3 linked regions of the Mus musculus genome follow. The protein of the gene in region 1 binds, or shares a complex with, the protein of each later gene. Links are inferred from orthologs where the notes say so. Each region holds a gene or a part of one and is shown on either strand. Other genes may lie near its edges.

What was found. The genes of interacting proteins can lie anywhere in the genome.
Region 2: Trrap (region 1) and Tada2b share a complex: the UniProt entries of both Homo sapiens proteins name them as parts of the TFTC-HAT complex. The link is inferred for Mus musculus from reciprocal best matches to the Homo sapiens genes TRRAP and TADA2B.
Region 3: Trrap (region 1) and Ruvbl1 share a complex: the UniProt entries of both Homo sapiens proteins name them as parts of the SWR1-like complex. The link is inferred for Mus musculus from reciprocal best matches to the Homo sapiens genes TRRAP and RUVBL1.

Annotation. Positions count from the first base shown.
Region 1 is NC_000071.6:144,817,258-144,820,829, reverse strand, and holds part of Trrap (transformation/transcription domain-associated protein), read right to left. Parts: intron 3,234-3,572; coding exon 3,027-3,233; intron 2,896-3,026; coding exon 2,737-2,895; intron 2,639-2,736; coding exon 2,510-2,638; intron 1,129-2,509; coding exon 1,018-1,128; intron 583-1,017; coding exon 436-582; intron 1-435. UniProt on the Homo sapiens protein: Adapter protein, which is found in various multiprotein chromatin complexes with histone acetyltransferase activity (HAT), which gives a specific tag for epigenetic transcription activation.
Region 2 is NC_000071.6:36,481,474-36,485,640, forward strand, and holds the start of Tada2b (transcriptional adapter 2-beta), read right to left. Parts: upstream 2,813-4,167; 5' UTR 2,585-2,812; coding exon 2,315-2,584; intron 1,617-2,314; exon of another isoform or gene 1,535-1,616; coding exon of another isoform or gene 1,505-1,534; intron 1-1,504. Other genes in the region: Ccdc96 (coiled-coil domain-containing protein 96), read left to right, coding at 3,179-4,167. UniProt on the Homo sapiens protein: Coactivates PAX5-dependent transcription together with either SMARCA4 or GCN5L2.
Region 3 is NC_000072.6:88,463,919-88,468,220, reverse strand, and holds the start of Ruvbl1 (ruvB-like 1), read right to left. Parts: upstream 2,813-4,302; 5' UTR 2,694-2,812; coding exon 2,553-2,693; intron 656-2,552; coding exon 569-655; intron 1-568. UniProt on the Homo sapiens protein: Possesses single-stranded DNA-stimulated ATPase and ATP-dependent DNA helicase (3' to 5') activity; hexamerization is thought to be critical for ATP hydrolysis and adjacent subunits in the ring-like structure contribute to the ATPase activity.

The sequences.
Region 1 (3,572 bases):
AGCCAGGGCTACACAGAGAAACCCTGTCTTGAAAAACAAGAAATGAAAAGAAGAGAAGAGAAGAGAAGAGAAGAGAAAAGAAAAGAAAAGAAAAGAAAAGAAAAGAAAAGAAAAGAAAAGAAAAGAAAAGAAAAGAAAAGAAAGGCTTTACAAATCCTAACTCATTGTGAAGAGTAATTTTATCAATCACAACAGCTTATACCAAGCCAGCTAGGTCAAGGGAAGAAAGAAATGCATTTAAACTATGACAGACACAGGTGACCTAGTCTAAGCTCTCTGGGCTGACTGAAAACTTGAACTTTAGAGTCAAGTTCAGAGAGCCAGAAGACAGAGTGTAAGAGGCCAGAGTGGGCACAGACGTGCGGAGCTTGGGTTTGAGACTCAGGCTCAGACCAGAGCCAGGTGATAGTATCAACCAGCAGCCTGCACACCTACCACGGTCATCAGCAGCTTGTCAAACCACTGCAGTTTGAGCTCAGACTTGCACCACATATCTGGCCGTAGAGCGGTCTTGAGAAGATTCACACAGCGGCGAGAGAGCACCTCCCCAGGCGACCCTGCCGTGTTGGTGTTGTCGTTCACCTGCAAGTACGCCAGTCAGGTGGTCACTCAACACCCGCTTACAGGTACAGAAGAGCAGGGATGTGCACACTGCATCTCAGCACTCTGCCTCCCATGCATCCTCCCCAATGCCCAGACTTCCTTCTCCCTCTGGGTCTCTGCACCTATACACTCCCCTGCAGCAGGTGCCTGTGGTAGCTGAGAACAGGGCCTGCTTTCCAGAGAGGGATACCTGCACAAAGACCCCACACATGAGACCCCCATGCACTGCAAGAAAACAAGGGCTTTGGCAGCCCAAAGGATTCTTTGAAAGTCTTAGCAATCTCCAGTACTTCACAAAACAATATTTTGTTTGACAGCTTTAAGGATTGAAGAACCCACCCCAAATTAAAAAGAAAAATGAATTTTTCTGAGATTCTGCAGGTTGCTAGGCAGCTCTGTCATGCATTCTCATACCTGGCAAGCCACTCGAATGAGGAAGTTCACCACAGTGTCTGTGTGCTGCTTGTCAATGGGCTTGGCAAGAAGAGAGTCAGCTCCCGGCAGGGACTGGCTCCTCCCGAACACCTAGGAAAGGCCACAGGAAGCACCTCCTATGGGGACTCATCCTGACCTGAGAGCAGACAAGTGTCGCCGCCTCCCAGGTTATGGGCATGAAGGACTCCAGAGCGGGGGATGCCTGCCTTGTGAAGCGCACAGAGCTGGCAGGGGCACACCACTTAGTGCACAAACTAGCAGTGAGAAGTGACGGCCCATGTGACAAAGAGAGCACGTGGCAGGTAAAGATGGCAGTGTCTGAGAAGAAGCCAGTGGCAAGGGAACGGGCGAGCCAGGAGGCTGAGTGTAGAGGAGGCCTGGGTAGGGGAGTGAAAGGAGACGTGAGCCAACAGCAGGGCTCTGGCAGAACAGACCACTGACTTCAAATGATTAAACACTCCTGAGGTAGTTATAAACGCAGCAGAGGTCCGACACAGCCTTCACCCGGCTTCCTCTAACTTAAGGGAGGAAAGAAAGGCTTTTGGTACTCTGCTGTGAGAGGCATTATCAGCAGTGACAGGAGCTGCACGAAGTAATCTGGGGTAAAGGTGAAGGATGCTCAGGAGAAGTGAATGGGAAAGGCAGAGATGGGTCCAGGTTTCCACTTGGAGTCCTGGGCACCTGTAGGGACATCTAAACAGAGGGTCCAGGTTTCCACTTGGAGTCCTGGGCACCTGTAGGGACATCTAAACAGACAGGCCAGCAAGAGTTGGAGAAGAATCTTGAAGTGCTGTCAGCCCAGCCAGTGCCTACAAGCCCTAATGCCAGCCAAGAACAGAGCTCAAGGCTCCCAGGGCCGCCATTCTAACCACAAGTGAAAAGCCAGTGCCCAAGACCCTCTAGGAGGCTGCGCTGCAGAAGTCAGGCAAATTGTCTTTTCAAAAACCAAGAAAGTGGGCGCACGTTCTCAACCTTTGCATGTTTTGTTTGTTCCCCTTGCTTCTTTCTTTTGCTATGGACGGGGTCCAGGGCCTTACCCATGCTGGGCAAGCGCTCTGTCAGCCACACCTCCAGCCCCTTCACTGCGGGATTCTAGAAAGATGCTCTACGGCTGAGCTGACCCTAGCTTCTCACTGCAGACTGGAAGCAGGACACACACACACACACACACACACCCATCAGCAGGTGATACTCTCAGCCCCTTGCTGGCATTGTCTAGGCTGCTCTGCTACAGCTCAGTTTCCTCTTTTGGCTTTTTCTATAAATAACTAATAGACCCCAATGGTACTAAGCCAGTGAAGAGGAATGGCAGGAAATGCAAAGACCTCTAGTGGGTGTTGGGCCCTAGAGCTGTTCCCAGTTCCCTTTCCAGCTGCCTCTGGAACAGCTGGCTCAAGAACACTCAAAACGCATGGACTATATGCAGAGCCCCAGGAGAGAGCAAGCACACACAGGAAACACAAGTCCTTACTGCGCTGATGGCTCCAGTGGCCGCCCTGAAGCGTTTCACCTCCTGTGCAGAGTCTACAGACAGGCCTCTCTTAATGGACACTGAGTTGACACCCTCTCCACTGGAATTTGGGTCCATGTCAGAATCCGGCTTGAAAAACACAAAGACACAGCAGGTTTTATTGAGTGGTTCCCCGGAGAAGAGTAAGGAGCCGGAGGAGAGATGACAGCCAAGGCTGGCAGTCCTACTTGCTGATCCTTGATCCTCTGCAGTTCCCACTTGATGACAACCTCGGAGAGGTCCACGGCCAGCCTCCTCTGCTCAATGGTGACACTGGGTGTGAAGCCCAGCCTCTGCATGGCACTAACCATGTGCTGTACCAAGTGGTGCCGCACCGGGTAGTACACCTGCAGACACAGGGACCAACGTCATGTCAGCGTTTACTAAAAGGTGAGGGGCCACCCCTGTTACAGAAGAGTAGGGGCTCGAAGCCAGCACCCGAGGCTGTACCACACACATCTGCTGCCACTTTCCATACCTTAAAGTGCTGCACTATGAGGTGAAGAATATGCACCAGCTGTGGGACCGTGTGCCCCTCCTCCACGATGATCTTCCTAGTCCAGTGTGTCAGCATCTGGTGTCCGTCCTCCATGCGGGCTGGCACTGCTGGGGTCAAAATGGCCATTGCCTGTCTCACAATCGCTCGGGCTTCCATTGCGTGAGCCTTGAGAAGACTGTGGAAAACCTAGACGAGAAACGCCAGTTTTCAGGGGAATCTGATGTTCTCTTCTGTTCCCTGTGTATTCTGCACACATAGCATGTATGCATATGTATGTACATGCATACACACACACCACACACCTTATACATACATACATCATGCAGACCAAACTCTCTCTCCCTCTCCCTATATACAAATTTTTAAAGCTGTTTGACAGGAAGGTCAGAATTAGAAACCCAAAAGATGACTGAGCAATCAAGGTACCACACAAGACTGTGACCCTGGGTTTAAGCCCTAGAACTGACATAACGATAAAGGAATCAACTCTCTCTGGCACCTGTGTTTGGCATGAGAGCATCCTGA
Region 2 (4,167 bases), about 110 Mb from region 1:
CACAGGCAGTCAAGCCCCAAGGCTCTTCCCCTTGGTCTTTACTTCTTCCAGCGCTGAGACTGGGCCTCATGAGAACCTGCCCCCTGAACAAGCTCCTCTGGCCTTCAAGCCTGAAAGAGCTGCTTCAGAAGAGGCCTTCCCCAGCCTGTCTGTTCATCCACATTTTCCGTGTTTTAGTTCCTGAGTGCTGGGCTTCTGACTGCGCTGCACAAATGGGCACAAACACTAGCTGAGCTACACTACAGACTCTACAGACCGGGCTTGCATTTCCTTTTTAACAAAGTAAGATAGAACAAAGCCAAAACACTGAAGTTGGACAAGACAAACCAACAGAAGCAAGTGAAAGGGCATAAGAATCAGAGACCCACTCGTTCACACTTGCAAGTCCCATAAAAATACTAAACTGAAAAGAAAACTATATACATAGAGGACGTGGTGCCGCCCCATGCTGGCCCAGACCCATGCTGGCCCTGTGCTTGCTGCTTCAGCCTCTGTTCATCTGAGTTCATCGGAGCTTTGCTCAGCTCATTTAGAGGGCCTTGTTCTCCTGGTGTCCTCCTGACCTCTGGCTCTTATATTCTTCTGCAGGGTTCCCTAAATACAGCCCAGATTTCAAGAGCTAAAGCAAGCGCAGTGCTGAGACTAACACTCTCACTCTTTTCAGTGTCTCCTCTGGAAATAAGTGCTAGAGGACTGGTGTGAGGAAAGAAAGGCTCTCAGAAGCAGTGACACGCAGGCCAGAGATCAGTCAGTAGTCTTGACTGAGGTGAGAACACCTCAGGCAGAAGAAAGGAAATGATCAATGGACTCCGCGTGAGCTCACAGAGAGCCATAGACATTGTCAGGCCCTGCAGGCACTGGAGTGTAATCTAAGAAGCAGAACTGAAGTTGCTGAGGGCCAACAAGATGCGGCTTATGCTCCAAATGCCCTATGTTCATGTGTGAGAAGGGTTACAGAACAGAAGGAAGAGAACGGTAAAACCATGAGAAGTGATCACGAGAGGTAAGCACCATCATGGGTCAGGCCAGAAGAGTAGGTCAGTAGCTACATTATGCACATCTTTTCAATACATGACCACTGACCAATTGGATGTGGTTGATGGCTTTAGGTTGGCTCTGTGTATAACTGAGGACAAGTGAGTCTTCACAGGCAATCAGGTAGAGAGGGATCACCAGGTATGCGACAAGCTCCAGAAACAGAGCATATGAATGCCACACTTTCAGCACTGAGGCTCTTCTTCAAGGTCCTTCATGTTGCCTGATCTGTACAAAGCATATGCGCAATACACACCAATAAACACCACTTAGAGACAAAGTAACCCATTGTTTTTAGAGAGCAGGAGCCAGTGTTGCTCACTGGTAAGACATCTGTGGAGTAGACTCCTTCCTAAGTGGGGAAGTGGGTCCAGAAGGTCACTCATTCTACGACGATCTGAAACAGGAGGGCAGTAGGGTTGGAGTAGGGGAAGCTCGGGGAAGCTAGGGTCAGAGGGCCCTAACATACCAGGGAAGAGTCTGGACAGGAGAGGGTCATGCCGAGCTCCCTGCTTCTCTGAAAGCTTGAAGATGTGACATATTCTTGGAGGCAATGGTGACAATGCAGCCAGATCTCATCCCTAACATAGGTGAGGAATAGAAAGGAGAGCTCCTTAGAGACAGCCAGAGAACAACCAGGAGCCCAGCACACTATCTGGCTGGCACACATGAAGGCTCTTACTACCAGTGAGCTACCTCTACAGAAACCTGACAGCTAGAAAGCAGACCCCAGGATCCATGCCTCTTCAGGAACACGCCTTTGTTCATTCTTTACTGTCCACCCATCACACCATGTCCTGGGTGCTGTGGAGACTAAGACTTAAACAAGATACTGCTACTCATTGAGAACCTTAGCACAGGGCACATGCTGACACCCACAGAAAGCACACGAAGCCCTGAATGCAGACTAAGTGCAGGCGGGACGGGCAGCCCCAGGCTTCTGGCCTTCCCCACCACTATGCCCAGGAGAACACAACCGTACTAGGGGAACTCAGCAAAGGACAGTGGGATCTAGCTTGCTGCCATCTGACTCAAGGATAAGCCTGGCAACGCACAGGGCCTACCCTCTACCCGCGTTCAATGCACACCTCTTGAGGACGAGTGTGAAGGGCAGACAGCTCCGTGTCGGGGCAATGGGTCAAGGCCCTGCTCTACCAGCTGTGTGACCGCTGGTGACCAACACGTTCCGGACACAACCATCCGACCACCTGCGGCCCTCCGCAACGTACACCGAGCCAGCCAGCCATGCCCTCCCTTCTAGCCGTAGCCCGCCGCTCACCCAGTTGCCGAAGCCGAACTGCTCGATGGCGTCCAGCAGCAGCTGCTCCTCGCGGCTGGTCCAGCCGCCCTCCGCCTCAGGACCCCAGAGTGTGAATCGTCCGCCGTCTACCAGCTGGTAGCCGTGGTAGCGGCGGTGGTGGCCGATCTCCGCGCCGGCCGAGAAGCACTCGGGGCACAGCTCGATGTCCTGGCACTCTGTGCAGCGGAAGCGCAGCGGGCTCACCTCGGCCAAGCAGTACACGCAGTACTTCTTACCCAGCTCCGCCATCTTCCCCCGCTCGCCCGCCGCCCGGCCCGCAGCCGCCGCGCCCCCGGCCGTCAGCGCCCCGCCGCCTGCCGGGCTCGCTGCGCCCGCCGCGCCCGTGCCGCTGCCGGCCGCTGCCACGGCCGCCCCCGCCCAGGCGCCGCCGGAGCCGGCCAGGCGGGCCGCGTCCCGCCTCAGCACGCAGGCGCCCTCCGGCCCGGCCCGGCCGCCGCCGCCGCAGCCGCTGTCTCCCCGCCGCATCGCGCAGGCGCCCCCCGCGCGCCCTCTCGCGGACAGCCGAGTCTTTGCTCTGCGCCTGCGCGCCGGCGCCTCCCGCGGCCTCATGGACTGGAGGAGCCGCGAGGCCCCGCCCTAAGCCTGTCAGCCGGCGGGGCGCGGACCGGAAGTAGGCCGTGCGGGCCACGCCTCTCGGGAACCAGCGTCCAATTAGCGCCTCCCTTCACCTGTTCGCAGATCTTCATTGGCCTAATATTGCCGGGAGGTGGAGAGAAATGGAAGGCGGGTGACCAATCGCGGGGCCCACCGCGCGCCCTGGTTGCCCCGGGAAACCTAACAGCAGGCATCAGCCGGCCTCAGAGCGGGGCCGGCGGGTCGAAAATGGACAGCCACTACGGGGACATCGAGGGCAAAGACCGAGCCGAGGAAGGCCTGGCCAGGCAGTCGCTCGAGATCAAGGTTAGCTCCGAACCTCTGACTCCGGCCAACCCTGTAGAGCAGGAGCCAGAGCCGAAGCCAGAGCCGGAGCCGACGCAAGGGCGGGAGCCTGAGAGCGAGACCCAGCCGGTGTCGGACAGCTCAAAAGCGAAGGATTCGGAGGGGATCGATTACGCGCATGTTGAGGTCCCGGAAAGTCCGGGGGCCGCTGAGACCGCGGGCGAGGCCGTGTCCCGAGAGCCAGAGAGTCTGCCACAGACCCAGCCCAAGACCAAGCCGGAGTCCAAGGAACCAGAGGACAAAGACGAAGACGAGGATGAGGACGAGGATGAGGACGAGGACGAGGACGAGGATGAGGATGAGGATGAGGATGAGGGAGAGGAACGGGACAGGCCAGAGAAGCCGAAGGGCAAGGGGAAGAGGGAGAAGAGGAAGGAGTCACGGTTCCGGCCATCTCTACCGCTGACCACAATTGTTGAGGAGGGGGCTGCCCCAGGCCCACAAGCTGCGAAAGAGAAAGCAAGGGAGTCACTGAAGAAGAGAGACAGTGAAGAGATCGAGGGGACAGATCGAGAACGACACAAAAGCACAGAAGAGCAACTTCACCCTGGAGAGGCCAAGGAAGAGGAGAAACAAAAAGGGGCGTCCACTGAAGAGTTTGAGTGGACAGCGGACATGCAGAAGCTGCAAGAGCAGCAACTGCGCGGCGAGCTGGTGGAACAGTACCACTCCCTGCTAGTGGAGCGGAACCGTTATCAGCGCTACAACATGTACCTACAGCAGAAGATTCACGAGACCCTACGCAAGAAGGGGCTGGAAGCAGCGGCGGAACCTGGGGACAAGAGCGCTGAACCCGAATCTCCCGAGAAAGAGCAAGCATACTTGCGCTATCTGGCCATGCTGGAGGAACTGAAGAAACAAGAGGCAGACGA
Region 3 (4,302 bases), on another chromosome or scaffold:
AAAAAAAAAGTGGGGTGGGGTGGGGTGAGCAAGATGCCTCAGTAGGTAAAGGCACTTGCCACACAAGCATGGAGTCTGATTTCCAGACACCACAACGGAAGGAGAAAAGCAACTCCTGAAAGATGTCCTCTGACCTCTACACATGCACTGTGGTGCATATGTGCAAGTATGTGCACAAGCATGCACAAACACACACACACACACACACACACACACACACACACACACACACACACACACACACAGTGGGTGTCCACTCAAAATCTCCAACACGGTGTCTCCTGCCTAGAAAGTCCTTTCCTTCCCTGTAAGGCCAATCTTCCTACATCTCTTAAAGTGCCCTCCAAGGACTTTACCTCTGCTCTGGAGGTAGGCCAGGGTAATTTTAATTTTAGACCACAGATTTTATATGCTAAATTGTATTAAAACTGCACATTGGTTTTTAAACCATTCATTTAACTATTCCAGCTAGACAGAGACTAGTTAAGACATGAATTCAATGGAGCTTAAACATCAATATCAATGTCTTGGGTAGCTTAAAAAAGAGAAAGAGAAAATGAATGAACACCTTGCCAGTTCCAGGAGGCCCCGCCAACAAGACAGCTCTTCCAGCCATTTTCTTGCTTTTGATTAATTCTACAATGACGCCACATGCCTGCACAAAACAGAAAGAAACAGTCAGTCTTAAATGCATAATGGTGGAACCAGCTCAGGGCTTGGTCCACACAGCTCGCACACTCTTTTGACACGAGACAGCTGTGATACCAGTGCTGTGCTGTGGAGTGGAGCGGTGGAGGTGAGGTAGCAAAGCCACGTGCTCCAGCTCACACCGTATAGTTGCTGCCACGAAGAGAGAAGGGTAATGAGACGCTGAGTGGCTACCGAGGGCTGGGGGTGGGGTGGGGGTGGAGGGGGACTTTCTCATACATTGTATGTAACATTTGAAGCCCTGGGCAGAAGTCTACATTTCAGCCGGGCAGTAGTGACACATGCCTTTAATCCCAGCACTTGGGAGGCAGCAGCAGGCAGATTTCTGAGTTTGAGGCCAGCCTGGTCTACAGAGTAAGTTCTAGGACAGCCAGGGCTATACAGGGAATCCCTGTCTTGAAAAAAAAAGAAAAAGAAAAAGAAATCTACATTTCAGACAAAAATTGCAAACTCAAAATAACCAAAGCATAAGTTTGGTATGTCTAAGCGACAACATGCTGCAGCAGCCAAAGTATAGTGAACAGAATGGAAAAGGGGAGGTTGAGGCAAGCAGGGACCAGCACAGACCTAGTACTTAACAGAGTCTGCAGGGCTGTGCATTCCAGGCCAGTTTGACTACAGCAACATTATCTAAACAAAAAGGGTATGTATGCTATGAATCCACCCAATAAAAGAATTGGCAAGGGCTGGTGAGATGGTTCAGTGGGTGAAAAGCACTTGTAGTGTAAACCTGAGGACCTGAGTTCAATCCCTGGATCCCACAGTGGAAGGAAAGAACCTCTGACCTCTACCAGAGCACCATGGCAGTCACATGACTGCACTGCATTTGCGCACATTTTGTCAAACAGGAAAAGAAACAAAGAAATATCAGCTAAGGAAGCCAGGTGTAATGGCCCACACCTTTAATCTTAGCACTCAGGAGGCAGAGGCAGTCGGATCCCTGTGAACTCAAGGCCAGTCTGGTCTACAGAGTCCCAGGACAGCCAGAGCTACATAGTGAGACTGTCGTGAAAACAAACAAAAATAAATACCGGCTAACATTCAAAGAATAGGAAGGATAAGATATGGAGTACCAGAGGCTGCTGGTGTGGGTGCAGATGCAGGTCTAGAGCAGCCTCTGAAGTCACATACACAGAAATGTCACATGGACAGAAATGAAATAAGAAACAATAGACTCAAAGCTGCCTGGCCAATAGAAAGCATTAAACTGCTACTACCTGCTTGCAAGAAAAGATGCAAGCATGCTAGGGTCAAACATTTCCCTTTTTGGATAGATGATGCTCTTTGCTGCTGGCACTTTCTGTGTGCAAGAGGCTGAGAAAGCAGTCTTCACCACATGTAAAAAAGCAAGTTTTTGTAGACACTGAACCTCTGCAGAGTTCAGAGTGGAGGAGGCTGAAGAAATGGGAAGAATACTGATTTGATGGGGGTTAGGGGGAGGGAGATACCAGCCTCATTACTGCTAAACTGGCAGGTGGTTAAGCGGCCTAACCCACCTTTAACTTCTTCATGTGCAAAACAGAACCGATAGAAAGACCTGGCATGACTTTAGGAAGACTGACCTGGAAAAGCTGGAGTGCTTGGATGGGGAATAGATCAGACAGTCCTCACCGCTCCACTTAACAGATCAGCTCCCAGGCCCAAAGAACCCATATCAACTCTGAAAACGTAGTCAATTCTATACTTAACCGCACAGCCTTCCACTGCGTTTCCGGTGAGGTCTAATTTGCGTGCCGTGACCCGCAAAGGATGCAGCCTTTGCTCGCTAGTGTGATCCTTACTTCTTAGATCTTAGTGGATCCTGGTCCCGCCGCCCACACCTCGCGCACAAGCCCCACGCCCACCTCTCTCGCGTTCTCCTGGCCCACGAGACCCGAAGCCGCCTGCTTGGCTAGGCCGCTCTCGTCCAGCCCCAGACCCTTCACGTGGCTGTGGGAGGCGATGCGCTGCGTCTTCGTGGTGCTCTTCACCTCCTCAATCTTCATTTTGCCGAGTGTCTAGGAACACAACCTGCGTGGAGTGGTAGGAACTACCGCACGCCAGGCGCCTGGGTTACCACGCGGCCGTTACTAGGCCGCTCTCCTGGACCCGCCCCTATCAATATGTCATTGGGGGAGGCGAGAAGGCTTCGCTTTCTATTGGCTAAAAGCTACGCTGGTCACGGCTGCTGAGTTTCGCCCAGTAACTTCCGTCTGTGTCACAGGATAAGTTCCCCCAGGGCAAACATTTCCTGCCCTGGCCACATTTGACTGAGAACTGCTTAAGTACTTAAGCACTATTAATGTGAATGACAGGTTTTTAATTATAAATGCCTCTTTTAATGCCTATTTTTTTTCTTTAGAATAACATATTTGTGCCAGGGTGAGTTAACTTCTTCACTGACAGATGTTAAATCTTTTCCAGGTGCTTGGATGTCCTGAGAGAATCATCAGCAAAGCAGCTGCCCAAACTTCTCCAGTGCTCACCGAATTATTTAGACACCCAGAGAATGCCCCACTGCTCCCATTTTTTTTTTTCCAGAATACACTAGATCCTGAAGGCACTATTCCAGCCAAAACTTTTCAAACACTTCATGCCATAATTCTGGTCATCATATGCCCAATAAGAACCTTAAAGAAACTCGGCGGTGGTGGCGCACGCCTTTAATCCCAGCACTCGGGAGGCAGAGGCAGGCAGATTTCTGAGTTCGAGGCCAGCCTGGTCTACAGAGTGAGTTCCAGGACAGCCAGGGCTATACAGAGAAACCCTGTCTCGGAAAAAAAAAAAAAAAAACAAACAAACAAACAAACAAAAAAAAAAAAAAACCCTTAAAGGAAAAAAAGGAAGGAAGGAAAAGAGAAGATGTGTTTGTGTAGCCTTGCCTGGCCTAAAACTCCAGGGCCCCCACCTGTCTCTGCCTCCTGAGTTGCTGGCATTAAAGGTGCTACCACCATACTCTGACCAGATATTTTCATCAGTCTGGAGTGGGTGCAAGTCTCCAGGTAGGTGAACAAAAGCTGCCTGTGAATGGTGAAACTATGGTCCTTCATTTGAATAATCAACGGCTCTGATATTGGTGCAAATATGGTAGTTTGTTTTCACAATCCACCTTGCCATAGTCCAAATTTAATGCTTCATTTTCAAGAAGGGCTATACTAAGGACGGCAAACACTCTTGCTTACTCTCTCAACATTCTGGCTCTCTAAGCAGGTGTCCCTCACTTTTTTTTTCTCGAGACAGTGTTTCTCTGTATAGCCCTGGGTGTCCTGGAACTCACTCTGTAGACCAGACTGGCCTCAAACTCAGAAATCCACCTGCCTCTGCCTCCTGTGTCCCTCACTTTCCTCACTTTTAAGTCAGCCAGGAGACACCTTCCTGTGCTGTGCAATGTGTAGCTGTGGTGCAACTTTAGGCCCATTGTTTGATTTCTCAGTCTTTCCACCTATATTAATAGTATTGTGGGCTGAGCCGGTAATATGAAGAAGACAAGCCTAGAGACTGTAGCAGTGAAGACTGTGATGAAAGGCAGCTAGAGAGTTCTAGAGTAAAATAAAGACAGAGTAAAAATAGAGAGTTTCTAGACTGGAAGCAGAAATGGCATGTGACTGGCAGCAG